Linked DNA regions of Macaca mulatta. The protein of the gene in region 5 interacts with the protein of the main gene of each other region in a pairwise test. Links are inferred from orthologs where the notes say so. Each region holds a gene or a part of one and is shown on either strand. Other genes may lie near its edges.

Evidence for each region.
Region 1: the proteins of VPS52 (region 5) and AIRIM interact in binary tests that used the Homo sapiens proteins (3 or more experiments, as listed by UniProt). The two-hybrid records come from large-scale screens. The link is inferred for Macaca mulatta from reciprocal best matches to the Homo sapiens genes VPS52 and AIRIM.
Region 2: the proteins of VPS52 (region 5) and WTAP interact in binary tests that used the Homo sapiens proteins (3 or more experiments, as listed by UniProt). The two-hybrid records come from large-scale screens. The link is inferred for Macaca mulatta from reciprocal best matches to the Homo sapiens genes VPS52 and WTAP.
Region 3: the proteins of VPS52 (region 5) and TSTD2 interact in binary tests that used the Homo sapiens proteins (3 or more experiments, as listed by UniProt). The two-hybrid records come from large-scale screens. The link is inferred for Macaca mulatta from reciprocal best matches to the Homo sapiens genes VPS52 and TSTD2.
Region 4: the proteins of VPS52 (region 5) and MFAP1 interact in binary tests that used the Homo sapiens proteins (3 or more experiments, as listed by UniProt). The two-hybrid records come from large-scale screens. The link is inferred for Macaca mulatta from reciprocal best matches to the Homo sapiens genes VPS52 and MFAP1.
Region 6: the proteins of VPS52 (region 5) and RAB4A interact in binary tests that used the Homo sapiens proteins (3 or more experiments, as listed by UniProt). The two-hybrid records come from large-scale screens. The link is inferred for Macaca mulatta from reciprocal best matches to the Homo sapiens genes VPS52 and RAB4A.
Region 7: the proteins of VPS52 (region 5) and TBC1D22B interact in binary tests that used the Homo sapiens proteins (3 or more experiments, as listed by UniProt). The link is inferred for Macaca mulatta from reciprocal best matches to the Homo sapiens genes VPS52 and TBC1D22B.

What each region holds. Positions count from the first base shown.
Region 1 is NC_133406.1:203,101,085-203,105,280, reverse strand, and holds the start of AIRIM (AFG2-interacting ribosome maturation factor), read right to left. Parts: upstream 2,858-4,196; 5' UTR 2,605-2,857; exon of another isoform or gene 2,405-2,604; intron 2,206-2,404; exon of another isoform or gene 2,205-2,205; 5' UTR 2,075-2,204; intron 1,581-2,074; exon of another isoform or gene 1,329-1,580; 5' UTR 1,321-1,328; coding exon 1,216-1,320; intron 1,163-1,215; exon of another isoform or gene 593-1,162; intron 478-592; coding exon 197-477; intron 1-196. Other genes in the region: CDCA8 (borealin), read left to right, coding at 3,306-3,399, 3,522-3,650. UniProt on the Homo sapiens protein: Part of the 55LCC heterohexameric ATPase complex which is chromatin-associated and promotes replisome proteostasis to maintain replication fork progression and genome stability.
Region 2 is NC_133409.1:12,259,894-12,263,632, forward strand, and holds part of WTAP (pre-mRNA-splicing regulator WTAP), read right to left. Parts: intron 2,879-3,739; coding exon 2,700-2,878; intron 2,481-2,699; coding exon of another isoform or gene 2,420-2,480; exon of another isoform or gene 1,653-2,419; intron 1-1,652. UniProt on the Homo sapiens protein: Associated component of the WMM complex, a complex that mediates N6-methyladenosine (m6A) methylation of RNAs, a modification that plays a role in the efficiency of mRNA splicing and RNA processing.
Region 3 is NC_133420.1:60,767,651-60,772,129, reverse strand, and holds the start of TSTD2 (thiosulfate sulfurtransferase/rhodanese-like domain-containing protein 2), read right to left. Parts: upstream 2,979-4,479; 5' UTR 2,863-2,978; intron 1-2,862. Other genes in the region: NCBP1 (nuclear cap-binding protein subunit 1), read left to right, coding at 3,480-3,513.
Region 4 is NC_133412.1:21,198,391-21,202,129, reverse strand, and holds part of MFAP1 (microfibrillar-associated protein 1), read left to right. Parts: intron 1-1,689; coding exon 1,690-1,909; intron 1,910-3,739. UniProt on the Homo sapiens protein: Involved in pre-mRNA splicing as a component of the spliceosome.
Region 5 is NC_133409.1:149,037,844-149,041,371, reverse strand, and holds the end of VPS52 (vacuolar protein sorting-associated protein 52 homolog), read right to left. Parts: intron 2,371-3,528; coding exon 2,259-2,370; intron 2,034-2,258; coding exon 1,915-2,033; intron 1,275-1,914; coding exon 1,128-1,274; 3' UTR 574-1,127; downstream 1-573. UniProt on the Homo sapiens protein: Acts as a component of the GARP complex that is involved in retrograde transport from early and late endosomes to the trans-Golgi network (TGN).
Region 6 is NC_133406.1:19,774,636-19,779,169, forward strand, and holds the start of RAB4A (ras-related protein Rab-4A), read right to left. Parts: upstream 2,918-4,534; 5' UTR 2,722-2,917; coding exon 2,691-2,721; intron 1-2,690. UniProt on the Homo sapiens protein: The small GTPases Rab are key regulators of intracellular membrane trafficking, from the formation of transport vesicles to their fusion with membranes.
Region 7 is NC_133409.1:144,981,063-144,985,557, reverse strand, and holds the start of TBC1D22B (TBC1 domain family member 22B), read left to right. Parts: upstream 1-1,671; 5' UTR 1,672-1,817; coding exon 1,818-1,873; intron 1,874-4,495. UniProt on the Homo sapiens protein: May act as a GTPase-activating protein for Rab family protein(s).

The DNA.
Region 1 (4,196 bases), on a different chromosome or scaffold from region 5:
TCTGACAAGGAAAATGCCAGAAAATGGCTTTCTGACAGAGGTCTCACTGCCCCAGATGGTAAGTGAGGAAGGTTGAGATACCTCCAAATGCCACGCTTTCAAGGAGAAAAACACCTTCTGGACTGATACTAGCTACATATAAAACACCTCGTTTTAAAATCCTTCCACCAGGAAAGAGCACTATGGAGCTGCTTACAGCCTTTCCCCTAGCTTGTCCAGGACGATGTCACCAGCAGCCAGCTGCTTGCGCCTCAGCCGCTCTTTTAAGTCTGGGAAGGCCCGAAGCGCCGGCACATCCTCGAACCGCAGGTTCTGTGCGGCCTGCAGCTGCTCCGCCAGGTTGCTGAGGGAAGACAGGAGGGGCTGGCAGTCCTGCAGGGCACTCTGCCACAGGCCCTGCTGCTCCTCCACCACCAGGAAGCACTTCTTCAGGGCCTCCTGCACGGCAAGCAGAGGCCGGTCTTGAGTCATCTTCTGCTGAAAAAGATAAAAATAGAAAATAACCACGTTGGGGTGGCAAGTCAGTCCGGGAGGCACTGGGTCGAGGGTGGGCGTCATTTCCGTCCTCGTGTTCACACAGGAGTTGTCTCACCTCCAGAAGTGGTTTTTTTTGTTTTTGTTTTTTTCGACACGGAATTTCACTCTGTCGCCCAGGCTGGAGTGCAGTAGCGCTATCTCGGCTCACTCCAACCTCTGCATCCCGGGTTCAAGCAATTCTCCTGTCTCAGCCTCCCGAGTAGCTGGGAATACAGGTGCCCGCCACCACGCCCGGCTAATTTTTGTATTTTTAGTAGAGACAGGGTTTCGCCATGTTGGCCAGGCTGGTCTTGAACTCCTGACCTCAGGTTTTCCGCCCGTCTCGGTATCCCAAAGTGCTGGGATTACAGGCGTGAGCCACCAGCCCCGGCCCTGCCTCAGCTTTCTGAAGGAGATCCTGGCTTCCCCTTGGGAAGGGTAACCTGGATAGGGCAGTCTCCTGCTTCAGAGGATTCCCGGCGGCCAATCGCCGTCTCTTCTCTGACCTACAGTCCTGTCTCCCCTGCCCGAGGCTGCCGGTCGCGTTCCTGAAACCAGCGGAAAAACTTAAAAGTCAAGACACCCAAAGCGTGAGCACCACGCGCCCATAGTCTCTCTGCGCATGCTCACAGGCGACCGCCCCCAAAGCTCCTCCGCAGGCCTGCAAGGCTATTGAGTCGCGAAAATATATCATAGTACCGAAATTACTTCTGGGTACTGTAGTCCAACATGTGGATTGGCCACTCGGCTTGAAGCTTCCTTGGGACTGGATGTTGGGACCGTCCAAACACGGCGACTTCTCATTTGTCAGCCTGCGGCAGTTTAAATTGGGTGGCAGTGGTGGCATGTCCTCTTAACTGTGGAGTCTTTTCCTCTCAGCTTGCGCCTTCGGCTGTGCCTTAATGACACTTTTGACATTGTGTATCACAACCAACTGGCAAAAACTAGTGAATCACGGGCTCCTGACGTGGCAGCTCTGGCTGAGATGCAGGTGGACATCCTAGGTGCCCAGGGAGGTCGGGCACATTGGGGAGTCGGGTGAAGGAAACCCTGAAACCGAGAGGCTGGAAGCCCAATTTGCCCATCATAAAAACACCTGCTGCGGGAAAGCCTACATGAGGTACGGGTTGTCGTCCCCTCTCATCTTGGCCATCTAACTGATGGAGATCCTTAGGCACCCAGCAGACTCGGGTGTCACCCCCACCACCCACTGCCCAGGGCTGACCTTGGGCGGAAGAGCGACATTCAAATATTTTTTGTATATGGAGCAACAAACCAGGGTGGAAGAGAGAGAGAAAGGACTTTCTAGGAAGGGCCAGGCTTGCCAGGGTTTCTATGCTTGGACTGCTCTGTCCCCAAGCTCGCTGGTGCCCATCAGGAGCCTGCTTGGCACCTTTGCTTATTTCTTTGATTGTTCCTGAACTCAGAGGGGGAGAGGCAAGATTATCACTCCCATAGCCTATAACATGCACGCTTAAACACAAACAACCCCTCTGACATGGCTTCATTCCGCATCCACAGGTGAAAAGCACCAAATCCAAACAATCAGGCCACAAACCTGTCAAGAGCTCGCCGGTCTGGCCGTCCAGTCGTCGCCCGCCTTGAGACTCAGCCTGAGCTACAGCTTCGAAACTAGCCTCTAGCCTTGCTGGGTCTCAGCACAACCCTTGAGCAATCCAACCCTGTGGCTGTGGGCAGATGCAAAGATGCACAGTTAGCACTTCCGACAGGACTGCGGCTCAGCGGGGTTCGAGGTCTACACGCCCATTCCCAGGCCCACGGCCAGAACACCCAGAGCTGCCTCCCGCCCTGGGCTCCCTGGAGTGTGGTGGCCGCGGCTCACGCTGCAGTCACCGCGTGGGCAGCTGCCAAGCGCCACTACTCGCACCTGAAGTCGCGGCCCCGCGCTGCACACCCAGTCGAGGCGCCAAGACGCGAACTGGACGGGAGTGGCCGCCCCGCGGGCAAGCGAGGAACAAGAGGGTTCTCCCCACTCGCTGCCCAAACTGGCCACGGGCTGGCGCGCCCACCCCAAAGCCTGCACCCCGGCCCCGCTCCCCTGTCATTCCGCCTCGACCCCTTCCAAACCCTGTCGGGGCTGCTCTGTCTCCGCCGACCCTCCACTTGCCCCAAGTTCGGCCTGGGGAGCTTGGGGCCCTGAGGAGCGCCGACGTAGGCAGCCAACCAGTCAATCAGTCAGAGTGTCACGGCGGCCCCTCGGCTACTCAGTGGCAGCCAGGCCTGGAAGAAGCAGCCGCCGGCCCCGGAGCAGAATCCTACAGCCGACCTGACCTAGCCCGCTCCTAGCCCTCCAGAGATTGGGGTAATGAGGACCCGCCGCAAGGCCTGCCGGGAGTCGCAGTTTGTATAGTTTGCAGCCGGCCAGGGCGGAGCCGGGTGGGTTGGTGGGGAGGGCGGGGAAACAAGCCTGGACCACAACTCCCAGGAGCACCCGCGACGGCGGCGCCCGCGCTGACGCACTCCGGCTATAGGGAGCGCATTGGGCGGGAGACCCCGGGCAGGTAGGAACTTGCTTGTGATTGGATACTGTGGGACGGCGGTTTCTCATTCGTCAGCCTGTGGCTGTGGAGTTTGAATTAGGTGGCGGTTGACGGTAGAGCCGCTCTCTCTCACTGGCATAGCGAGGTTTTACTCAGTCCTTGTCGCGAGACCGGAGGTACGTGCCTGGCGACTTATTCGGGTGGTCCCCATCCGCCCTCCTGGTCCCTACCTGGTTCCTTGCCTCCCTGCCCCATCTCCGCCGCTCCCCGCAGCCTCCGCCGAGCGCCATGGCTCCTAGGAAGGGCAGTAGTCGGGTGGCCAAGATCAACTCCTTACGGAGGCGGAAGCTCGCCTCCTTTCTGAAAGACTTCGACCGTGAAGGTAAAGGGGCCAGGCCGTCGCGGCCTCCTGGGGCGGTCGCGGGATGCTGGCGGGTGGGGACACGAGCTGCACACATTCACCCGCCCCGTGACCCGTGTCCTGTCGGCTCTGCCCTCCCGCAGTGGAAATACGAATCAAGCAAATTGAGTCAGACAGGCAGAACCTCCTCAAGGAGGTGGATAACCTCTACAACATCGAGATCCTGCGGCTCCCCAAGGCGCTGCGCCAGATGAACTGGCTTGACTACTTCGGTAAGAGCTGGAGAGCTTCCCTGGGCGGAGGCCGGGAGCCCCGTGGGGTTAGGTAACACCCTTCAGAAAGGACTCGCTCAGATGTCACCTTTTAATGAAATCTGACATGACCACTTATGGAAAATTGCAGACCCTTTCACTCTCTGTCTCACTTCCGTAAGTCATGTGTCTCCATCCTTTTCTCTAAAGGCCTAGGTAGCAAATATTTTAGGCTACTTGAGCCGGTGGGAGGGGTCTCTGTCGGACAACTTAGCTCTGCTGTTACAGGTCCAAAACAGCTATAGTGAATGGGCATGGATGGGCTGTATTCCAATAAAATTTTAGTTGTGGATACACTGAAATGTGAATTTCACATAATTTTCACACATCAGGAATTTTATTTTATTTTTTTGGAACAGAGTCTCACTCTGTCACCCAGGCTGGAGTGCAGTGCAGTGGTGCGATCTTGGCTCACTGCAACCTCCACCTTCTGTATTCAAGTGATTCTCCTGCCTCAGCCTCCGGAGTAGCTGGGATTACGGTCTCCTGCCACTATGCCCTGCTGAT
Region 2 (3,739 bases), about 140 Mb from region 5:
TTAACCCACAAACATAATAGAAAGCACGTTGAAAGATATACCTCTAAACACTCTAAAATGTGTGCATTCTCACATGAATGAAATATTTTAACTGAACTGGACAGGTTATTTCTGAGAATCTTTCTTCCTCAAAATTAAAACAAAAAAACAGTAAAGCGAAGACACACGTGCGCACGCACACACCCCAAAGCAAAACCCATTCCACTACTGGAAATATTCCAGACAGGGGATTGCCTGAGCCATTATTTGTTTCAAATTAGTGATGTATTTATAGTACCTGATATACTCTGGCTTACAGCCAATTTTACAGAAAAAAATCAATTTATAAGTGATTTAAATAAATTATGATTCCTTAATATAATGGAAATACACTATGCAACCATTAAAAATGTAGTAGTCTAGATACACTAAAAAATGGAAAAATGCCGAAGAGACCAACTAAAAAAAAAGGTGCAACTCATCTGTGTTTATGGTATGATCACATTTGTTTAAAATAATATACATAAAATGACTGTATATGCATAGAAATTATCTTGATGATACCCAAGAAAAAGTAATAGCAGTTACTGCTCCTGGAGAACAGAATGAGGATGTCCAGGTAACATCAGAGAGTGACACTCACTTTTCATCTCCCCCTTTCTCTATAGTATTTCAATTTTATATACAAGCATGTATTATCTTATTATTAAAAGAGAAAATTTTAACAATGACAAGAAAAAAACCCATAGAACTCATGACTGTTATCTAAGTGGCAAAGAAAGATGCCTGCTAAATTTGAGTACATGTTAATAATACATTTTATGAATTACTTTTCTACTAAATTCTACTAAAAAGATACTTAGGCCATTTCTACTGTGAACTTAAAATGGCATAAAATATATACAAAAGCGTTAATGCAATCACATAAGCTAATTTCAAACAGATCCGGTTACTTACCCTCCAACCCTCACAAATAGTGAGAATTTTAGAAGCAGGTTTCTTGCTGAAAAGTCACACAAACCACTTCTTCAACCCACCCTCTGCCCCACAATCAGTTCCCTAAAGCACAAACATATATAAGATACTTACAATTGATTTGAATGATTAAGAGAGAACTTAAGTCACCCTTGTTAAAACTGCACTTAAACGTTGGGACAAGCTGGAACATTTATCTTCCACTCATCTTAGACTCCATTATCACCAAGCGAAAATTTGAATTGGTGACTTATAGAATGATCTGACGGAAAAAATTCACCTCCAGGATTGGATGGAAGCATGAAGAAAATAATGCCTCATTTATCTAAATGATTAAATGAATTTACTAGAAATGATCACTATACCTTTTTTCAATTCACAAAATGTCTTACTTAGGCCAGCCCACAGTTCCAACACATTATCTTCTGGCAGGCACCCTGTGAAGCTGTCCCGCAATTACTTTCTACTGCAGTACCCTGGGACAAAGTGTCATAAAAGTAACCAGTGTCAAGTCTCCTTGTCTTTTATGTAGGTCTTTTAAAAATGAGGCACAGCGCCTTTTCCTTCACTTTGAAGAGCACAGCAACAGTATTTCCAAAATGAATCTGCTCTCCACAGGCCCCCCCCCAAATTAAAATGTTAGAGTACAACAAAATCATCATAATATTCTTTGAACTTAAAAAAAAAAAAACCAACTATTTCAAGGCACATTTAATTTAATATCAAGAGTGCAATACAAAAGGCCCAAATACAATGAAGGAACACATTCCCCCATTAACACCAACGACAATGCTCTTTTAAACATGTGCCTGTTGAATGGAATGGGGATTTCATAAAATTCACTAAAAAAATAATGCAGTGAGTCTCATCACAGCTAATATCCTTATACAATCTAGTTGTGAAATGAATGTTTATAATGCTTCAAACAGTTTCAACCTGAAGTTTGATACCACACCTTCACGTTTGTACAGTCCTCAGTAAGATAATCTACAGTTTTGCAACCATTCAAAGAACAAACCATTGAATAAAACCACATTGATTAAGGCTCAAGCAAGTAATATAGAGCCCCAAACTAAATGGTTAAATATATGCGCTACTTGTACGGACATCTATTATTTGATTCTCTCGTGACTATTAAAAGTTGGTTCTCAGCAAATAAACCCTTTAAAGGCAAAATTCACCTCATTTGAGTTTTGACCCAGAAGTTCAACAACAATCATGAAGTCCACAGTCTTATTGGCAAAACTGATACACAGTGTCTCTAAGTCACTATGCTCAAGGTTAAGAGCGATGCATATTCCATTTTTACATTTTACTGGAATTTTACATGTTCAATTCATGATTTAAAATCTCTAGGTTTTCATTCCTTCAAACTGTCTGAAGACACAGTGTGCCACAGACTTAAGACTTCTGTTTCTCCCTCTATTTTCTTCAAACAGAAACATTTCTCAAGTGTCTACATGTTCTAGAAGGGGAATTTTTCGGAGGTGGCCACTTCTTCGGAATAGTCCGACGCCATCAGGCCTCTGAAGCAAGGGGAAGGGGAAAAGAAAAAAGCTGAAACACAAGGTTCATCTGGTAAGTTTTACATTAACCATTACAAGCTGGACAGTGTAAGAATGTGGCTTTTTTTGGCTCAAAAAGTCTGAGTCTTGGTGTGGAAACGAGTACTTGGCTGTCCCACCACAGCTTTCTCGTAGTGGGACTGTCAGGGAAGTCTTGACTGGGGAGTATGATTTGTTTACCTATCAGGCGTAAACTTCCAGGCACTCAGTTCATTTTGGGCTTGTTCCAGTTTGTCTTTAGTCTGTTCCAGTTCACCTTTCATTTTTAGGAAAAACAAGTTGATCGCTGGGTCTACCATTGTTGATCTCAGTTGGGCAACGCTCGGCTGCTGGACTTGCTTGAGGTACTGGATTTGAGTCTGTGCAAAGCAAAAGAAACAATTACAACCAAATCAAAGGAAACATACATAAGAAGGTGGGGGAAAACTCCCTCCATTCACTTGATTTACCAACTCTTTCATTAAGTCCTCCCCTCTTTCATCCTGAAATTCTCTAGAAAAATCTTAAAACTTTCTCGAAAAAGTACAGATTAAAAACTATTTGATGAATATGCTAATTACCCCAATCTGATCACTACACATTATATGTATTGAAACATCACTAGTAGTCCTTGAATATGTACAAAAATTATTTGTCAATTAAAAAATAACTAAGGTTATTCATTTAGGAATTGAGGCCATTTGATTACGTCTCCAAATCTGGATCTTAAAGGGGCTACATACATTTTACTTTACAATCCAAAATTACCAAAAAAACAAACAAAAATCAACATTATATTTACTAAAAATGCTGACAACCCACTGGAAAAAAGCAAAGTTTAAAATATTAATTACCGCCGGGCGCGGTGGCTCAAGCCTGTAATCCCAGCACTTTGGGAGGCCGAGACGGGCGGATCACGAGGTCAGGAGATCGAGACCATCCTGGCTAACACAGTGAAACCCCGTCTCTACTAAAAAAAAATACAAAAAACTAGCCGGGCGAGGTGGCGGGCGCCTGTAGTCCCAGCTACTCAGGAGGCTGAGGCAGGAGAATGGCGTAAATCCGGGAGGCGGAGCTTGCAGTGAGCCGAGATCCGGCCACTGCACTCCAGCCTGGGCGACAGAGCGAGACTCCGCCTCAAAAAAAAAAAAAAAAAAAAAAAAAAAAAAAAAAAAAAAAAAAATTAATTACCTAAGAGTTAATGAAGTCTTTTGGTTTGCTTATTTTAATTTTTTGCCTAT
Region 3 (4,479 bases), on a different chromosome or scaffold from region 5:
TTTCCCACCACCCCAAAATGATCTCCTCAGACTCTGCATCTTTTTTCAGTCTCAGCTTATTTTCATTTACGTATATACTCTGAACTATTATTATTTGTGGCACCTCTGCTATGTGCCAGGCCCATGGAATAGTCCTGGGAATGCAGCTATGAATGAAACAGTTGAAGTCCCTGCCCTCTTGGAGCTTATATTCTGGTAAGGAGAGACATTAAGTAAGTAAAAAAAAAAGAAAATACCAGCTAGGGATAAGGGTCCCTGCTTCTCAGTTTCCTTTGCTGGGTCTTCCTTATTACCCCAACCTCTAAATGTTGAACTACTCTATATCTATACTTACCCCACAGGTGATCTCATCTACTTCCAAGGACTTAAAACTATATTTGCCTCAAAATAATTGGGTGAGAGGAGGTAATATCAACGAAACCAGAATATTCATGAATTAAGAATTACTGAAGTTGATGAGTACATGGGGATGCATCATAAATTTTCCCTACTTTTGTAAATATTTGAAAATTACACAAAAAAAGAAAAAAGGGAAACATAAAGGAAATTTTATGTTTAGAATACTATACAATAAATGACTCCAAATTCATATCTTCAACCTGGGCCTTTCTCCCAAACTACAAATTCACATACCCCACTGCGTGTGAAGCTAGCTAGCTTCAGCTTCAAATACAACTGTTCAAAACCAAACTCTGGTCTTCCCTAGTCTTCCTTATCTGAGTACAAGACAATTTTATTCTTCCGGTTACTCAGACAAAAAAAAACTTTGGGATGATTCCTGACTCCTTATTTTCTCACACTATCATTCACTTGTTCAGAAAATCCTATTTTTTTTTTTTTCTTGAGACAGGTCTCGTTCAGTCGCCAGGTTGAAGTGCAGTGGCATGATCTCAGCTCACTGCAACCTCCGCCTCATGGGTTCAAGTGATTCTTCTGTCTCAGCCTCCCAAGTAGCAGCTGGGAGTACAGCTGGGACTCCCAAAGTGCTAGGATTACAGGCATGAGCCACCATGCCTGGCCAGCTTTGCTTTTGAAGTACAATCTAATCAGATCACTTTGCACCATCATCTTCACTACCACCCTAGTTCAAGCTACTATCATTTGCAGCTTGAATTATTGTAACAGCAGAACTATCTTCCTCCTTTGGGAGCCAGAGAGGTAACTATTAAAAAATAAGTCAGACTGGCCCCGCACAGTGGCTAATGCCTGTAATCTCAGCACTTTGGGAGGCCAGGAGTTCAAGACCAGCCTGGTCAACATGGCGAAACCCCATCTCTACTAAAAATACACAAATTAGCCTGGTGTGGTGGCGCATGTCTTTAATTGCAGCTAATTAGGTGGCTGAGGCACGAGACTTGCCTGAACCTAGGAGGTGGAGGTTACAATGAGCCAAGACTGTGCCACTGCACTTCAGCGTGGGCAACAGAGCGAGACTCTGTCTCAAAAAAAAAAAAAAAAATTCATACTCCAATGACTTCTCAATTTACTTGGATAATGTTCAAAGTCCTTACAGAGCACCTTCTCCCTACCCCTCTGATCTCATCTACTAGTCTCCCATTGTTCACTACCTATGATGGCACTATTTGGGGCTATTCCTGAATGGATCGTTAGAATATATCAGCGCCACGAGAGCAGTGGTTTTCCTTTGTTCACCTCGACATCCTCAGCATTCAGAACTCTGCCTGGCACCTACGAGGTGCTAAATGCTAATAAATACAATATTCGCTGAATGAAATAAAACAGCAATTGGGTAACCAAAGAAGTCCTCACTAAGGACCTGATATTTGAGCTGAGACCTAAGTGACCAAGAGCCAGTCACGCAGATTTAGAACCAGAGACCTTCAGGTAAAGGAAACAGTATAAGTTCCTAAAATAAGAACAAGCTTGACTTATTGTACGAACAGAAAGAGGGTCTGGAGTACAGTGAGGAGAGGTAGAACTCCACAGGCCATGGTATGGAGTGTGCAATGGAAAGTCGAAGGAGACTTTTTTTTTTTTTTAAGACACGGTCTCGCTTTGTCCCCCAGGCTGGAGTGCAGTGGTGTGATCACGGCTCACCGTATTCTCGACCTCCTGGGCTCAAGGGATCCTCCCACCTCCGCCCCCAACCCTCCCCTCGAGTAACTGGGACTACAGGAGCCAAACACTAGGCCCGGCTAATTTTTTTTTTTTTTTTTTTTTTTTTCCCTGTAAAGACAGTGTTCGCCTCGTTGTCCAGATGGGTCTTGAACTCCTAGGCTCAAGCGGATCCGCCCACGTCGGCCTCCCAAAGTGTTGGGATTACAGGCGTTAGCTACCCCGCCCGGCCGTCACAGGAGACTTTTAAACAGAGCAGTAACACGATCTGATTCAGGATTTGTGTTGAAAGGAGAACAGGCAGGGTTTACAGATCATTGTTATGTAAAAAGTGAGGGAAAAGAGCTAAGAAAGACTCTCTAAATTTTTGGATTAAGCAGCCGATGGATGACGTCATTTACTGAAATGGGTAAGACTGAAAGAGAATTAGGCCGGGAGAGTGAAATTTCAGATGGCCATGGACAAAGCAGATAAGCCAGTATGGTACTCATAAAGACATCAGGGCAGGGGACGGTCACACACAGGCATACAGGTACCCAATAACCCTTGATTACTAAAACAATCATTTGTTCCTTCTTAAGCAAACAACTTAGGGAAAATGACAGCCAGCCGGCAAGCCGGGAGCAGCACGCTCGCGTCAGGGCCGGCCTTTCCAACCCAGGGGGAGGCACGTGCGGCACCGCCTCCCGCCCAGGCCCCACCCCGCATGCCGAGCTTGGCCCAACCTCTCCGCCCACTTTTCCCAAGGCGGCAAAAGCCAGAAAGTGGGAGTAGACGAGCACATACCCGCCAGTCCTGATCCTTTCTTAGGTCTCTCTTCCCTGCACTGTTTCCACCTAGCAATTGTTACCGCTCACCGCCCTGCAGTGTGTTCCCCGTCGCGTGTTTGGGTAGAAAAGCTCGTTCGTGACGTCACCAGGCTCCGGAAGTCTCCTGGACGTCGGCGCAAGGGCCGCCGGGAAAACCATTGAGAAGCCCCGGAGGACCGGCCTGAGCGGAGGCGGGGACTAGAGCGGCCGCCGGCACCACCCGCCTTCAGGCGTACGACGACAGCGGTCCGGGGTCTCTGACTGGCCGAAACGGCGGCACTTTCTGCGTGGCCCCGGAAGGACACAGAGCGGAAGGCGGGAGAAAGAAGCAGCCGGCAGGCGGGGGCAGCCTGAGGGGGCGGTTGCGTGTGTGCCCGACGCCCGTAGCCCACTGAGCTTCCTCACGCCGGCTCTAGCAGCGCCGAGCCCACCCGGCGGCCTCTCCTGAGCTTCCGGGAGCCGTGGCGAGCGAGTGCGCCTGCGTGCCGGCCCATCCGCGCGCCTCGCAGCTGTCCTTGCGCCGGCCAGCGGCAGGACAGTTTCCTCGGCGCTTACCGCCTGGTTTCTGGGCTCCGCGGCGCACCGGAGGGCAGCATGTCGCGGCGGCGGCACAGCGACGAGAACGACGGTGAGTACCTGCAGCCCGGCCGCGGAGGCCGCTCCCGGTTGGGAACCGAGGCTCGGCATCTTTGAGTGTCCATGGAAGAGACTGGAAGCTCTTCTCCCCGGGACCGTGTGGGGAGCCGCGGAGGGAAAGAGGGGAATACAGTGGCGGTGTGACTGGGCGGCTTCTAGAAAGCGACTTTTTTTCTCCCGCCCCAGTTCTTTGAGTCAAGGGCCGATCCTCGGGAAAGGAGGCCTGGTGAACCCCATGGGTAGACCCTTGGTCTCTAAGGAGGCTTCAGAATTTGGTCCTTAGCACCACCGAGCAGGGAAGCACACCTGTGTCCGTGCTGCCGCGTCTTAGGGACCCACTGGTCCCAGTGTCTCGTTTTAACCTTCAAAGCTGCACCTGAGAAGGGCTCGGAAGAATTCACTGAAGGAAAGAACTGAGAGATCTCATGAGTTGCAATCTGAACTCTGTTCCGGTAGTGGTCATCCGTTGATTTCCCTTATTTCGAGCTGCAGGGAAAGAATATTGTCTTACCCACGCCCAAGAGGTCCCTAATAAACAGACACAGGTTACTGCAGATTTTGAAGTGGCCGTAAGCGCATTTCCCTCGTGTGAGAGAGAGTGCTAGAAAACTAACTTCAGGCCTCAGAGAGTTAGAACAGGGGTTCCCATCTGCATTTGGATGATTGTGCTCGTGGAGATCATAGTGTTGTCTTCATAAAGACGGAATAATTCTAGTTTTAACAACAAAAAAATGCTTATATTATACATAAGCCTTACAATCGGTCAAAAACACAAATCCACACACCAAAAAAGTGAAACTTAGAGTAATTCTGTTAACGTTTTAGTGTATTGTTTTTTGAAGAGAGTGTAGAGTAGTGGTTAAGAGGTGAGACTTTGGAACCAGAGGGTTTAGATTCAAAGCCAGACCCTACCATTTACTTGGTGATCTTTTCCAGGTTATGTAATCTCCTTAAACTT
Region 4 (3,739 bases), on a different chromosome or scaffold from region 5:
GGTCTCAATCTCCTGACCTCGTGATCCGCCCATCTCGGCCTCCCAAAGTGCTGGGATTACAGGCTTGAGCCACCGCGCCCAGCCTAATTTTTGTATTTTTAGTAGAGACGGGGTTTCGCCATGTTGGCCTGGCTGGTCTCGAACTCGTAGCCTCAACTGATCTGCCCATCTTGGCTTTCCAAAGTGCTGGGATTACAAGCATGAGCCACTGTGCCCAGCTATATATATTTTTGTGTTTGACACAGGTTCTCACTGTATCACTCAGGCTGAAGTGAGTGCCTTGCTGTGGTCACGGCTCGCCACAGCCTTAACCTCCTGGACTCTAGTGATTCTCCCACCTCAGCCTCCCATGTAGCTTGGGACCACAGGCATACACCACCATGCCCAGCTAATTTTTTTATTTTTAGTAAAGACAAGGTCTAACTTTGTTGCCCAGGCTGGTCTCGAACTCCTGGGTTTAAGCAGTCCTCCTGCCTCAACCTTCCAAAATGCTGGGATTACAGGCATGAGCCACCGCACCTGGCCCCCTCATTAATTTTCTAAGGTTAAACTATTCTTGTAGTCTTGAGCTAAATTCTAATAAGTTGTGTTGGCTTAGGGGTTTTTTGTTTCGGGTTTTTTTTTTTTGGTAGTTTTTATATCGCTGGGATAAATTTGCTCTTATTTAATATTTTTGTATTTGTGTTTGTAAGTGAAATCCACCTAAAGTTTTCCTTTGAACTGTCCAATTTGGTTATCAAGGTTATACTCATAAAATAAGTTGGTTAGTTTTCACTGTCTCTCTTTGTTCACTAGAATTGTTTATATTTGTAGGCTGGGTGCTATGACTCACGCCTGTAATCCCAGCACTTTGGGAGGCCGAGGTGGGCGGATCTTGAGGTCAGGAGATGGAAACCATCCTGGCTAACACGATGAAACTCCATCTCTACTAAAAATACAAATAATTAGCTGGGCATGGTGTAGCGCATGCCTTTAGTCCGAGCTACTCAGGAGGCTGAGGCAGGAGAATTACTTGAACCCAGGAGGCGGAGGTTGCAGTGAGCCGAGATCATACCACTGCACTCCAGCCTAGGCGACAGAGTGAGACTCCGTCTCAAAAAAAAAAAAAAAAAAGAATTGTATTTATAACAGATTACCTACTCTTGCAGGTTTGATAACACATAAGGTAAAGGAAAAGAAGGTAGAAATAAGTAAGATTAGAATATTGAGTCATGTGGTAATATGTTATAAAGGCTGCCGTGGAAATCCCAGAGGGAACTACAAGAATGCCTGAGCAGCATTTTAGTTTTATGTTCCTGCAGAAATCATCCTTACTATGTGGTGGGCACTGTTACAAATAATTTGTTTAAGGGTATAGTTGAGGTGGGATGCCATGAATTTGTGATGGATGCAGTCTGCCTTTTTGCGGGGGACTTTTTTCTACTGTTTCACTGCCTGCCTTCCTCCACTTCATTGTACTCAAGGTAAGCCTCATTATCATCAGTGTTGGCTTTCACAAGGAGGCAGTCTCGTGACTTGGCCTTTGTAGGAAAACACTATTAGATGAATAGATGGTTGGGTAGTGGCTCTTTTCTTCTCCTGCTTAGACTCTTGTCTACTATGAATAAAGGGTTCTATTTGCAAAGGCCATAATGGGATGAAGCACATTGAGAAACAGGCTACTGAAACATAGTTATTTTTCTCACCCAGGTGAGATTTCAATGGAAAAAGTGAAGGTAAAGCGTTATGTGTCCGGAAAGAGGCCAGACTATGCCCCTATGGAGTCCTCAGATGAGGAAGATGAAGAATTTCAGTTCATTAAGAAAGCCAAAGAACAAGAAGCAGAGCCTGAGGAACAGGAGGAGGATTCATCTAGTGACCCCCGGCTACGGCGTTTACAGAACCGTATTAGTGAAGATGTGGAAGAGAGGTAATGTCTGTGATTGTGTTTTACTTGAACATGAACCTCTACAGCTTAATAATAATAGCTAATACTTGAATAGTACTGCCAAGTAGCTGACATTTGCTAATTGTTGTAATCCATACAATAGCTTTATGAAATAGGTGCTATTATCCCCATTTCACAAAAGAGGAAACTAAGAGCACAAAGGGGCTAAGAAAGTTACATGACCAAAGTTACAAAGTGGCAGCTTCAGAAAACAGCAGGTTACTTCTGGCCTAAAGGACCTACTCAACTCCTTACGGGAATAGAAAACACAGACCATTCGTTGGCTGTTGAGGGGAGTCTTTTTAGCACAAAGATGTTTTATAAACTTTGGTAAATTGATTTTATACATCTGCTTATTCTAAATGCTAATAAGGGGAAATGACACTGAAGCAGGAGAAAAGACCTCATAAAGGTCTCATTGTAGAAAGTCTCCCAGTGAGGGATTTTGTATGTTATATACTGATTGAGACATTACCTTAATAGAGCAGACCAGGGGTCCTGAACTTTCACCGTTCATAATTGTCCCAGGGGTTTTTTCACAGAGCTCCTGGGCCAAAACAGTTCTGTTTATTTTAGTTAGTAAGTAGTTAGAGCCAAGTAACTTAATAAGTATTTATGTCCTAATAACTTTGCCACTTGAAAATTACAGTGCCCATGGCCGGGCGCAGTGGCTCACACCTGTAATCGTAGCACTTTGGGAGGCCGAGGCAGGTGGATCACGAGGTCAGGAGTTCAAGACCAGCCTGGCCAACTTGGTGAAACCCCATCTCAACTAAAAATACAAAAAAATTAGCCAGGCATGGCAGTGGGCACCTGTAATCCCAGCTACTTTGGGAGACTGAGGCAGAGAATTGCTTGAACTTGGCAGGCGGAGGTTGCAGTGAGCCGAGATCATGCCACTGCACTCCAGCCTGAGTGACAGAGTGAGACTCCGTCTCAAAAAAGAAAAAAGAAAAAATAAATAAAATTACAGTGCCCATGGGGAAAAAAACACTTTTATTCATTCTCACATAACCACAGTTACTAGTGGAATTTGTGTGCCTATTGGACACTGACAGCCTTGCAGACCTTGGAATCAGCACTGTCACTTTTTCATGTCTTGTTTTATATTGATATTCACACTGTACTTTTTACCACAGCAGCCACCAAAACCCAATTTCACGAAGATACGATATTCTCAAAAGGAATGTAATATGACTTAATGTTGAAACTGAATTACCTTGAGCTATTGAAAATATCCCAATGCAGGCCACGCTCGGTGGCTCACGCCTGTAATCCCAGCACTTTGGGAGGCCAAGGCAGGCGATCACCTGAGGTCAGGAGTTCAAGACTAGCCTGGCCAACATGACGAAACCCCCTCTCTAGTAAAAATACAAAAATTAGCCGGGTGTGGTGGTGCACGCCTGTAATCCCAGCTACTCAAGAGGCTGAGGCAGGGAGAATCGCTTGAACCTGGGAGGGGGAGGTTGTGGTGAGCCGAGATCACGCCATTGCTCTCCAGCCTGGGTAACAGAGTGAGATTCTGTCTCAAAAAAAAATCCCAATGCATCCCTATGAGTTTGCTGGCTTGCTGTGGTGCCTTAGGATGCCTCAACATACGTTTAGTATTTCAGGCCAAACTTGGCTATTTGCTCTGATATCCTAGTCTAGTTCCTTTAATCTGCACCTCAGTTTCCCCCACCTCAATACTTTAATATTGGATGGACATGGTGGCTCACATCTGTAATCCCAGCACTTTGAGAGGCTAAGGCGGGCAGATTGCCTAAGTCCAGGAGTTGAAGACCAGCCTGGGCAACATGGTAAAACCCCGTC
Region 5 (3,528 bases):
AAGGGAATGTTAGGCCGTGGGGGTGGAGGAGACAGGAAACATCCCCAAATTACCATTTTTCCTCAACTGCACCTTTCCTCTTAGGCCTTAAAGGGGTCCCTGTGTCTCTCCAGTCTAGAGCCTAAGGTCAAACGAAGCGTATAGGCATGGGCAGCAGGAAGGCTCCAAGTCAAACAAATACATGACGTGGATGAATTTTGCCTCGTCTACCCCTGCCCCAGCGGTGTGTGTGTGGGTTGGCTGCTGCAGCCCAGGAGGCAAGGGACTGTGACAGCCACAACCAGAGGAGCTACGGAGCTGCTACAGAGGAGGGATTCCAGAGTCAGCTTGGGCTTGTCCCAAGGGAGCCCTCGAGATAGTGTCTGGGGCTGCGCGGCCTGGTTCTCAGCCCTTGCAGCATCTGCTTTAGCCAGGGGCCACCTTCCTCCTCTGGCCTGGAAGTAGCTAGAGGTTAGAGGTTACACCCGCCATAAGGGATATAAGCCCAGGAAGCAGTCAGAAAGGAAAGGTCACTCTAGAGATGGGGCCACCTTAAGGCCTTCAGGAGGAAGGAGAAAGGAAATGGGAGAAGTGTCATGTCATATTAAATATTTATTTTCTGCATACTGACTTGGGATTAATTCTTGAGCCAGGAGGGGCAGGGTTAGTGTTCAAATTGCTCAGATCTCAGGTCAAAAAACTACAGAAATCACTTTGAAAAACACAATGACAGAGGCAGTCACCCCTTGCCAGCAATTCCAAGAGCTCCTTCATGCCTCAAGACATGGTGACTAGTTGAGTGAACCAGAGATTGACGCAGTGACGGTTTTTACAGGGGAAGAAACAAGCCTTGGGTGTATGGGAGCAGGAAAGGAGGGTGACAGACTGGAGAAATGATAAAGGCCATTTTGGAAGCCCACAGGGAAGTGGTCTTGGGAAACCTGAAGACACTGGGAAATTTAGACGGCCAAGGAGATCCAGCTTATCCTGTTGGGCAAGGTGCTGGGAGGGAAGGCAGGTAAGCCATATTAAGGGCCTGGGAGGCAAGGGAAAAACTGGAAAGGGGACCGCCAGGTGAAGAAGGGTATGGAATGGGGTGCAGAAGTCCATGGAGATGACTGGCAGATCTCAGGGTGGTTTCCGGCACATCAGAAGTTGGGCTTATGCTTCTTGAGCTCCACCATAAGGTGGTGAATGTTGATGAGCTCAGCCCGGGCAGGCAGGGCTCGGAGCTGCGGCTGGGACAGCACCCGGTGGAAGCGATGATAGACCTGGATCAGCTGGGTCAGCGCTCCCTGGTCAAAGAAAGTCATTGAGGGATCAAACTGTAAAGTGGTGCTAATAGTGATGATTAAGAATCAGGTTAGGCAGCCAGGCGCAGTGGCTCACACTTGTAATCCCAGCACTGTGGGAGGCCATGGCGGGCAGATCACGAGGTCAGGAATTCAAGACCAGCCTGGCCAACACAGTGAAACCCCATCTCTACTAAAAAATACAAAAATTAGCTGGGTGTGGTGGCAGGTGCCTGTAATCCCAGCTAATTGGGAGGCTGAGGCAGGAAAATCACTTGAACCCGGGAGGTGGAGGTGGAGGTGGAGGTGAGCCCAGATCGTGCCACTGCACTCCAGCCTGGACAACATAGCTAGACTCTCTCTCAAAAAAAAAAAAAAAGAAGAATCAGGTTAGGGCTCATCCAGCACTTTGGGCACAGCTAGTAACTGAAGACCAAGGGTAACTTAGATGATGCTGAGCCCAGCAAAATGATGGGAGAAAATAATAAATGATGGGGTAACTTAGATGATGCTGAGCCCAGCAAAATGATGGGAGAAAATAATAAATGATGGGGTAACTTAGATGATGCTGAGCCCAGCAAAATGATGGGAGAAAATAATAAATGATGGGGTATCTGAGTGGGGGCTGGGACTTGCAGGTCACCTGAATGATACTGGTGCCATTTCTGAAGTTGGTGAAACTCCGCATTACATCCTGACTCAGAGATTCCACTGAGGATTTCCAGGAACTACCAAAGCCACGGATCAGCTGAGTTACCCGGGCTAACAGCAGGAGGAAAGGGAGTGTCAGAGACGGATCTGGCTGATCTTCAACTCCACTAAGTTCTCCCCAAGGTATAGCCATCCTTACCATCAAACCCTCTTTTCTGGTATTCTCTCAATCCAGTCTTTCATACTCTATTCCCCCACCATGTAATCTGCATCCTTTCATTTTTCTTTTCCACTTCCCTTACCACTGATCCCATCATTACCGCATTTTCCTCATACCTTCTTCCCCTCGAAGTCGCTCAGCCTGTCCACGCTCAATCAAAGCCTCAGCCTCCTTCACAAATGCCACTAAACCCCCAAAAGGGGGAGACAGCAACTCTTCAATGAATTCCTGGAAAGACAAACACATATACACAGGTGTCCTGGTGTCAGCAGATTTGCCCAATTCTGGCATCATGACTAATGTAGATCCGTGTGAATGGCATCTTTCAGCTGCTGCAGAAGTTAAGGAAAATTCTCTATGGAGAAAAATATCCTCAATCCTAATTTTGGCCCATACAATTCCCCTGGTTAAGATCAAACAATGAACTCAAAGATAACTAGACACAAAAGAAGGGCAGCTACCAAGAGAGTCAGCAGACACAATAAGCAATAGCTGCTGACCTTAGAACTATCAGATACAGATAGCAGTTGCACTGTTTGCAATGTCAGAAGTTAAGGATAGGCCAGGCACGGTGGCTCACACCTGTAATCCCAGCACTTTGGGAGGCTGAGGCGGGCAGATCACCTGAGGTCAGGAGTTCAAGACTAGCCTGGCCAACATGATGAAACCCCGTCTCTACTAAAAATACAAAAATTAGCTGGGCATGGTGGTGGGTGCCTATAATCCCAGCTACTCGGGAGACTGAGGCAGGAGAACCGCTTGAACTCAGGAGGCGGAGGTTGCAGTAAGCTGAGATCGCGCCACTGCACTCCAGCCTGGATGAAAGAGCAAGACTCTGTCTCAAAAAAAAAAAAAAAAAAAAAAAAAAAGAAAAAGTTAAGGATGTAAAAATGACCAATTAGTAAGAACTATTAGGAATGAACAGACTTGAAAAAAGGAAATTTTTTAGATACGAAAAGCCAATTTTAGAAAGTCAACAGATTAACAAGAATTATACAATGAACTAGAATTTATAACTGAAGAAAGGACTCAAAATGTAGCATAGACAGAAGATAGAAAATTCTGAGATAGTAGGAGATACAGAAATCTAATTAATGTATCTAGGCACTGAAATTGATGGCTACTAACATCACAAAGAGAGCCAAGAAGACATTATGCGCTTCCTGATGGAAATGCATACCACTACCTCTCAAATATCCCTGTAGAAAAAAAAAACTAAATCTGATCAAACCTTTCCATCTAATTACACATTTATGAGAAACACACCAGACAGAGGAACAGTTTGGCCACACCATGGAATGCAGTCAGCAAAATCTAAACTGTACATCATTCTAGATGACAAATGACTCAGTAACTCAGTTTCTTCCACAAATAAATTGCAGAAGA
Region 6 (4,534 bases), on a different chromosome or scaffold from region 5:
AGATTGAAAAAAAAAAAAAAACAAAAAACAAAAACCCAGTACATTTCATGCACTGGCCCTTGATTTTTCCTCATCCCTCTGTCAAGCTACACAGAGCCTCCTTTTACAGAAGAGCAAATGAGCACAGAGTACAAAGGAGTTTAAAGGTTAGACAAACATTCCTTCACCAGCTCAGAGGCAAATATCCAGAAGGGAGCCTGACTGTTTCACTTTTAAGGAACAATGCCATATAAATATGGCCACTGATATGTCCAAGTGACAGCCTAGGACTTGGTTCTAGGTGACTTTTACTTCAGCTTGGCAAACTTCAACTGTCCTGCTTGCTCCTTCTAAAGCCCATTTTCTTTTTTTGAGAGTCTCACTCTGTCATCCAGGTTGGAGTGCAGTGGCGCAATCTTGTCTCACTGCACCTTTGCCTCCTGGGTTCAAGCAATCTCATGCCTAAGCCTCCCAAGTAGCTGGGACTACAAGCGTACCACCATGCCCAGGTAATTTTTCGTATTTTTAATAGGGTTGGGGTTTCGCCATGTTGGCCAGGCTGGTATCGAACTCCTGAGCTCAAGTGATCTGCCCCCTCGGCCTTCCAAAGTGCTGGGATTACAGGCGTGAGCCATCACGTCTGGCCTCATTTTCTATTTATTAGTTTCTACTAGTTTTTGATTAATTTCCTCTATTAGAAGAAAAGATTCAATTCAGAATTGCAAAGTAAAAACATACTTGGAAGTTATCATGAAATAAGAATACTAATGGTTAAAGCCTTATGATCAGAATGCAATCAATCTGTGAAGCTCAAAAGTTCAGTTAACTGTGTCTGAAGTGGAGATGCCAAAGATATGCTCTATTTTATCAGTTGTTATCATTGTGTAAACGAAAAATGAAACATAAAAGGTCCTTTCTTACTGATTCATGACCCCCACTTGCTTTTCTTCTTTGGACATTCCACCCTTCCCTTGTGCTCTGTGCTCCTTACTCAGGTTAAAGAAACTCAGCGTGGGCTAAAGAGCACTTGAAAATAAAGAAGTGCAAAGATGCAACCAAAAATTGCTAAAGAGCATGTTTTCCTTACATTTCTGACTGTGGTCTCTACAGGAAGAACCAGACCACTGCCATTTGCAGAAGCATTTGCAAACACTTGTCCTGATGAAGGCATCGACTTACTGGAGGATTTCCTAAGCCTTCTAGGAACAGATGTCATGCCCCTCTGTCACCAAGAACAGGGCAGTACCAGTCACAGGAGTCACTCACTGAAGGTGGACCAAAGGCACTGTGACCCCAGCATGGAAGCCCTTCCAAAAGTTCCCATTTTTTCTTACAAGACAGACTCACGCCTTCCTCAAGGCCCTCTCCTCTCTGTCTCCTCATCCATCTCTCCAGCGTGGTGCTCAAAACACACCCTTCTTGAGTTGCCCTTCCCACAGGCCTGAGATGTTCTGTGTGTTGCCTGGCTAATGCCTCCCCGACACCCCCTGTCTGGGTCACCTTTCTTTCTAACACACTTTCACGGACCACACTCCTTAAGAACTCTTGGCTGGTTTTTAATTATTCACTCATTAGTATCACAATTGGATGAATACTGCATTCCCTCAATAGACGGTACGCTCCATGAGACTAGAGCCGTGTCTGCTGTCTTTCTGCAGGACTTACAGCCCTCCCAGCACGGTGCCCGCTTCCCTGATGCCATTCCACAGTATTTGTTGCCGAGAAGGAGGCAGCACGCCAGGACAGATGGAGACAGGACTAATTTGGCTTGAGGTATGTAATTTTGAACTTGAGCCTCTCTCTGGGACTGTAAAACTCCAAATCAAAGTCTTAATCTGAGAATACACACATCTGAAAGACTGATTAGGGACTGGTAAACATCTATTAATATTCAACTCTGAAAGAAAGTACAAGTTGTTTATTCTTACCACGCAAGGCCAAAAAAGGGGAGGAAAAAAAAAAAAAAAAAAACACCACACAGTATATGCACTGGGAAAGCTTTCGCTTATTCAAAACAGTATTTGTCGAGCACCTCCAGGTCTGGGTGCTGCAGGGGAAACAAAGATTAAACAGCCAAGGCTTTGCTTCCAAGGTGCTTACTGTCTTAAGGATACAAGGCATGTTTATAAATAGCCAAAATGCAACTCAGAAAAGACTAAAAAACACTGAGAGGGAGGGAGAAATAAACGAAGAGGTCTCCGGAGGAAGAGATGAATTAGTCTATCAGAAACTCCTCACCGTAATCCCAATGTAAAGCAAGGAATTCCAAACCAGGAAAGGTCAAACTTAAGTATTTGAGGAACACAGGCGTCGCCCTAAGCCCTTCACACGGCTCGCTGGGGATAATATAGCAGCTGAAACGGAACATCAAGCTGGCTTTCCAAACCTTCAGTTATTTACATTAGACTGAGAGGGGAAAAGCGCTAACAGTGCAGGCGCAGAGAAAGAGCAAGAGGAAACTTGAAAAGGCGGATCACTCCAATGCGCTGTGCACAGCCCCGCCCGCGCCCGGCGCACCCGCTACCCCACCCGAGCTCTCTGCGGCCCGCGTCCCCCATCTCGGTCCTAGGCCCAGACACTTCCGAGACCCGTCCCACGGCTCCGGCCGGCGCCACCGCCACCCTCAAGACCCCCGCAGCCCAAGCCCGGCCCCGCGCCGGCGACGCCCCCCGCGGCCCAATCCGCGCGCCCAGCCAGCCCGGGCCTCGTACCGTAGGTTTCGGACATGGCCGTCTGCGACATCTTGGGAGCGGCGCCGCCTCTCGCCGGGTCACCGGCTGCACTCGCCCGCGGTCCGCTGGCGCGTCTCGCTGGGGAAGAACCTGGGGCGGGAGACCGGAGGAGGGAGGGGCCCGACCGGTCCCCACGGCAACCGCCGGCCTCCCAGCGGCTGCGGCCCAGCCGGACTCCAGCTCCGCGCAGGCGCAGGGACCTCCACCCTCCGTCCGGCCGCGACCGCGAGGAGGAAGAGGAGATGGGCTACCCGAGGCCCGGCCCACGCCGCGTTCGCGCGTGCGCACGGGGAGGCGGGGGCGGGGCGCATGGGGACTTCGGCGCGCGCCGGAAGCACGTGCGCGGGCTGGGTCCCCTGGCTGTGTGCGCCGAGGCTGGGCGAGCGGCGGGTGGGGGCGTTGCGGGCTGAGTCCCGATTTCCCTCAGGGAAGGCCGGGTAGAGGCAGGCGGTGGGCAGGTTTGGGGGTGACAGAGGGCTGGGGACAGTGGGGTCCAGTTACCGAACAGAGGAGGAAGGTGCCTGCACTGGGGAGGAAAGCAGTCCATTTGCCACACTGGCCCGTCTCAGTTAAAGACATTGTCTTCGGTCATCATCTGAGGCTGTCAGCCAGGAAGAAACTTCCCTGACGCAGTTACGATCGAGGCCAGAACTTGGTTAATGTGTAACAAGGGGGCAGTAGGCCCCAGGTGTCCAGCCAGAGGCCGCCCTGTGAATGGGAGGCGGGTTCATTTACCCGTTGGGAAGCTAAGCTTTCACTCCAAACTGCCCGGCCCTCTTGAATGGAGCTGAGCAGGTGTGGGCAGAATGACAGAAGCTCAAGATGCCCAGATGCTGAAGGGTCATCGCAAGACTACAGACAGCAGCCTCTCCACATCCCATTTTAGAGGGTTCTGGATTACGGCTGAGAACTATCTCCTGGCCCCCAGCTGGGGATGTGTTTCCAAATTTAGGAGTTTTTTTGTTTTTATTTTTTAACAGGGTCTGGCTCTTGTCAGCGCAGCCCTGTCGATTCTCCCACCTCAGCCTCCTGAGTAGCTGAGGCTAGGGGCACACAGCACCACACCACGCCAATTTTTAAATTTTTTGTACAGATGGGGTCTCGTTATGTTGCCCAGGCTGGTCTTGAACTCCTGAGTTCAAGCATCCTCCCTCCTTGGCCTCCCAAGTTGCTGGGATTACAGGCGTGAATCATCTCACCTGGCCTTGGATAGTTTGGTTTCAGAAGCAAAACTGAGTTAGAATCCCCTTCTGTGGGAAATGTAGAGATAAACATTTATGGGAAAGAGAATTTTGGTTGAGGATTTGGCCCATCTGAGCTTGATCAGGGCCACATAGCGCCTCATAGTTCCCAACCTTGTTCACAATAGGTTGTCGAATGCTCAAAATATCCCTGGCTAAGCTCCCAAGTGACCTGGACTGTGTGGAAAATGCCAGTACAAAGTTTTTTTTTTTTTTTTTCCTGAGTCAATTTGGCTCCATCCTCCACATTGGCATCAGAGCTTCCCTCTTCCCCAGGGGCTATTTGGGTCGGTATTTTTCTCTTCTTTCCCATCCTAATAACAAATAAATGCAGTTTTTTTTCTAAACCACAGAGAAGGCCCCATGGTGAAAGGTTGTGAGAGCTGCAATTTCCTAAAATTGTTTTGTATATATTTCTTGTTCAATGGCTCAGATCATTTTTTGCTTTCTTGTTTGGTTCTCTGCATGTTGTGTTTGATTTAGGCTCCTGAGTATAGTAGATTGGTTCTGATTAAAACCATTTCAGAGGAAAGACAGTGATCCCAGGAAGTGGGAAGAAAACAGCATCACCTGAAATCTTTC
Region 7 (4,495 bases), about 4.1 Mb from region 5:
TCAAATCAATAGGGAACAGTTTCTGGAACATCTCTAAAACCATGTGTGTAAGCTGGAAAGTGGCAGGTATCTTGTCACATGGATGAGTGTATGGCAGCTCACATAGGGGAAGACAATCCAGAGGATACCTTTAAGACAGTGAACTCTGAACTGCTGGTTGCCACCCAAGTAAGGAATCTAGAAGTTGTTTTAGATTACTCCTTCAAGACATCAACTCTTCTAAAGCCCAAACAGCCAGCAAAAGTTCTGGCTGTTCAGAATAAAGACAAAACATCAACCTTAACAAAGCCTCAGTACATCCCTCTTTGGGCTTAGTGTGCAGTGCTGGTCACTGCATCCTAAGAAAAAGAAGTGCCAGAGAATGGCAGGTAAAATGATTAAAAGAATACAGGGACTTTTTCTTTCTTTTTTTCCTGGGTTAAATGCCCATGAAGAAAATAAGATGAAAGTGTATAAAAGCATGAAAGATTCAGAAGAAGTAAAAATAGCCCTCATCATCCAATCCTATAATTCTAAAATTAGGGGACAAAAGAAGCTTGAAAATGGGAGTAATGTAGAAACCGTCGTTGGAGGACATACCCGTCGGGGGTCGGGTCTTTATGTATTCTCCAATATGTGGAAGTACATGTGGTAGCTGTAAATGGAGGGTGGCGGGGGAGTGGGGGACACGCAGCCCACCTCAACAGTCCTTCGATGGGACAAAAACCACTCTGGACTGGTGCCCGCTTTCCCTCTCTCCCCAAATCACCACGGAATACAACCACAGAAACTCAAAAACAGCAAAAAACACCGACAAGACATTCAAAGGATTCAAAATGCTAATATTAAATCTCATTGTCTGGGAAAATTAGATTGAAAATAAATTCAAGGGTGCAAGATTTATAACAGATTAACAAGGGAAATTAAGGATGTTGGTGGGGCCGGGAGGAGATACATCCTTAACTTTGTGATTCACACGATGGAGCTATACTGTGTCCTTCAAAGAAATCGTATTTGGTAATCTGAGTTGGACAGCTATGATAAACCATTTCCTATACACCGTTAGCATAGTCAGAAAGTGAGAGTTATGGATTGACATAGGGATTAGATCATTTGAATTTTTCACCCACAGCACAAGTCCTTCAATCGTTTTCAATAAACAGAGGGAGAGGGAGACTCTGATGAACCGTTGCTCACGTGTTGAGCAGTTAGCAATCCCGGGCTATCGGGTCCCTGCTGACCTTCAGAAAAACGAATGGACATCTAAACGGAACGAGGAAGGGAGGGTAATAACCAGAGTGTCATTGAGTTGAGAGATGTTAAAAATGGGCCACAACAAACACATGGGCCTTTACTTTTAGGTCAAATATTCCTATATATAAATACATAGTATGCTCTCTCTTGCCAAAAAATATTAGACTCAGGAACTTCATTCCTCACGAAGAAGATAATCCCCTCTCTTCCTTCCCATAGGTCCCTTACTTTACCTGCTTCTTCCCTCTTGCGGGTTAGGAACTTTGAGCCCCACCTCTCTGCTCGTCCAAGCTCCGCCTTCCCCGTCCACCTGTGTGCCCAGACCCTGACGTTACCCGTTGGCTTCAGCGGCCTGCAGGATTCCGGCTCCCGATTGGTCGGCCCGTCCACGGCTTGCGCAGCCCACCAATGGCAGCGGTGCTGGGTGGAGGGGTGCCCACATCCAAGATGGCGTCCCTAGGAGCTGGGAGCGGGTGACCGGCGGCGGGGAAGCGGCCTGGGTTGGCCCTCAGATTGCGGGGTCTGGGGGCATCTCGCCAGGCAACCCCTTGGCCCGCCTACAAGGCCTTCCCCCTGCCAGAGCAATGGCCGCTGACAACAGCAAGCAGTTTTGGAAGAGGAGCGCTAAGCTGCCGGGGAGGTGAGCCCAGGACGCTGAGAGGGAGAGGGTATTGGACCAAACCCTTCCAGATCCTAATCCCTAAATCCCGCGGCCCTGGGGCGCCACCGAGGCCGGAAGACTGGTTTGGGGCAGCTGTCAGGCAGAGGAGCGAACAGCGAGCTTTGGGGACGGCTGGATGTGGGTGTAGACCGGGGTCTGGGGGCGGAGGTTTCTGGAGGGGTGACCTCAGCGAGAAGGTGGCCGAAGATTGGGCGTAAAGGGGAGTGGAGTTGGGTGAGTAGTCAGTGTCGGCCCTGGTCTCGGGGGTTCCTCCCCAGAGCTGCTTCCCACTCTAATTAGGACTCCCTCTCAGGGGTCTCCACCACGCACAGGTGGTTGGTCGCTCGAGGATGGCTTGCTCCCCCAGCTCGGCACTTACCCGAAGGGTTCTTGTGGGAGTTTGGGGTCGCCTGCCGAGAGGGTTAGGCAGGAAAAGTGAGGACAATTCTCAACTCCGACCTTACTTTATCTTGAGTTGGCCTTTCCCACTGGGAATTATTACAAGGCGACCACAGAATCAGGTTATTCCTTTGGCATTTTCTAAGGATTTGTCCAACCCCAAGTGACTTCTTCCTCCCCTGTATTGTAATGCACTTCTTGTGCAAATGCACTAAATTCTTTCATTCTTCAGTTGTTTAGCTGGAGAGCAGACCTCCTAAGACTACTCCCACCCTCTTTGTGGTGTATGTTGAGACTTTTGGCAAATTATCCATTCATCAGTCTACTGTTGGTTTACTGTTTCAGTTTATTTTGGGCAAAGTCCTGAGAAGTATAAGGAAGAGTGTGTATTTCAGTCGTGAATCTAAGATTTCTGCCAGCCACAGTCTACTTGGTGATGAAATTCATGTTTGGTTGTGCCCCACGTGCTACCTTTTCTAATGGATTCAGGTTTTTTCTTTCTGGGATGATCTTTTGAACTCGTGACTTTTTTTTTTTTTTTTTTTTTTAAGCAAGAGGGAGATGAGGGTCAATAGTGGCTGAGTTAGAGCCTTACTTTTTTTTTTCCCCCCCCCCAATGAAATAGAAATAAGGTCTGACTATGTTTGGGCTGGTCTGTAACTCCTCGCCTCAAGTGATCCTCTTGCCTTGGCCTCCCAAAGTGTTGGGATTGTGGGCGTTAGCCACCATGCCCCACCAAGAGTCTTGTTTTATTAAGGATCCTAGTAGACATATGGAAAATAGGTGGAAATCAGCTTTTAGTAATACTTATTAAATAATAGAAAGATAACATCAGATTAAAGTGCTGCGGACTTGCGGTGTTGATATAACTGTTAAAGATGTTCTGTGTTTTTAGGTAAGCACCACTTCCTGCCAACTGATTCCTTTTCCTTCCTGGTTTAGTGAGCTCTCTAGTTGTGCTAACTGCTATTCTCCGGGGTTTTCCATAGTGAGATCATTAAATTTTGACATCCTAAGATTATAATCAGAATCAATAGGAAGACAGTTGTATCAGGAAGCAGTGCAAGAGATGTGGGACATGGCATGGGCTTCTGTGCCTTCTGACTGGTGGTTGCTATTAACAATCTTTTTTTCCTGTATTTCCTGTATTTGACTCTAAGAACAGTCAACTTTTTTAAAGCACTACTTTTCTGAGATAGGAAGAGAAGTCTTTTCAGTTTCTTCAAGCTTCTGGATTCCCTTTTCATTTCGAAGAATATAGAGAAATAGAGAACTTTTGAGTTCAGAAAGACTTGGGTTACTATTTGGGCTCTCCTGTGTGTGTGACCAAGACAAATAATCTATCTAGGCCTCAGTTTCCTTATCTATGAAATGAGAAATAAAAATACCTTCCTCAGAGTTACTGTGGGGACTAAGTGAAATACCCTATTTGTAAAGAACCTAGGACAGTGTTTATTTAGCACATTATAGTTGCTCAGAAGACAGTAGTTATTAATATTACTGTCATTATTAGAGCAAGTAAACATTTAAAAGAATGTTACTCAGATCCTTACCCCAGCTCATTGTCTTCCTTGTTTGTTTTAAGGTATTCAAATATTGTCACAATTCATAATAATTTTTAGTACCTTACTTGGTAAAGAGAAATATTTTTCAGCTGTGTGCTTTTAGCAGTAAAGCCCACAAGCCTCTGGTCGTGGGAGAAAACTAAGGTTCTTTTAGATAGAAAGGTACTTTGATTTAAAGAAAATATTAGAGCATTTTGTCAAGAATAGAACTTTTGCATCTGTACTCTTTCGGTCTTAGGGAAGAAAAACTTTCTCCTGGGTGGGGAAATGACACAAATGACTGTACTAGACGCATGGCAACTTGGAAATGAAACTGCTTTACTCTTCATTGCAAATTGAAAGGTGAAAAATCAAAGCGATGACAAGATTCTTTCTGTCTGATCATGATCCAACAACCTTAGTGACAACAAATAAAAATTTTATTACATAAAATAACAAGTTACAAATGAATGAAACATTCTTTTTAAAAATAACAGCTTTATTGAGATATTAATATACCATGAAATTCATTCTTTTAAAGTGTACATTTCAGTGGTATTTAGTATATTCATTTATAGTACAGATGGTTTTGTGCAACTATCGCCACTAATTTCAAAACATTTTCATCATCCCGAAAAGAAACTACATACCTGTTTAC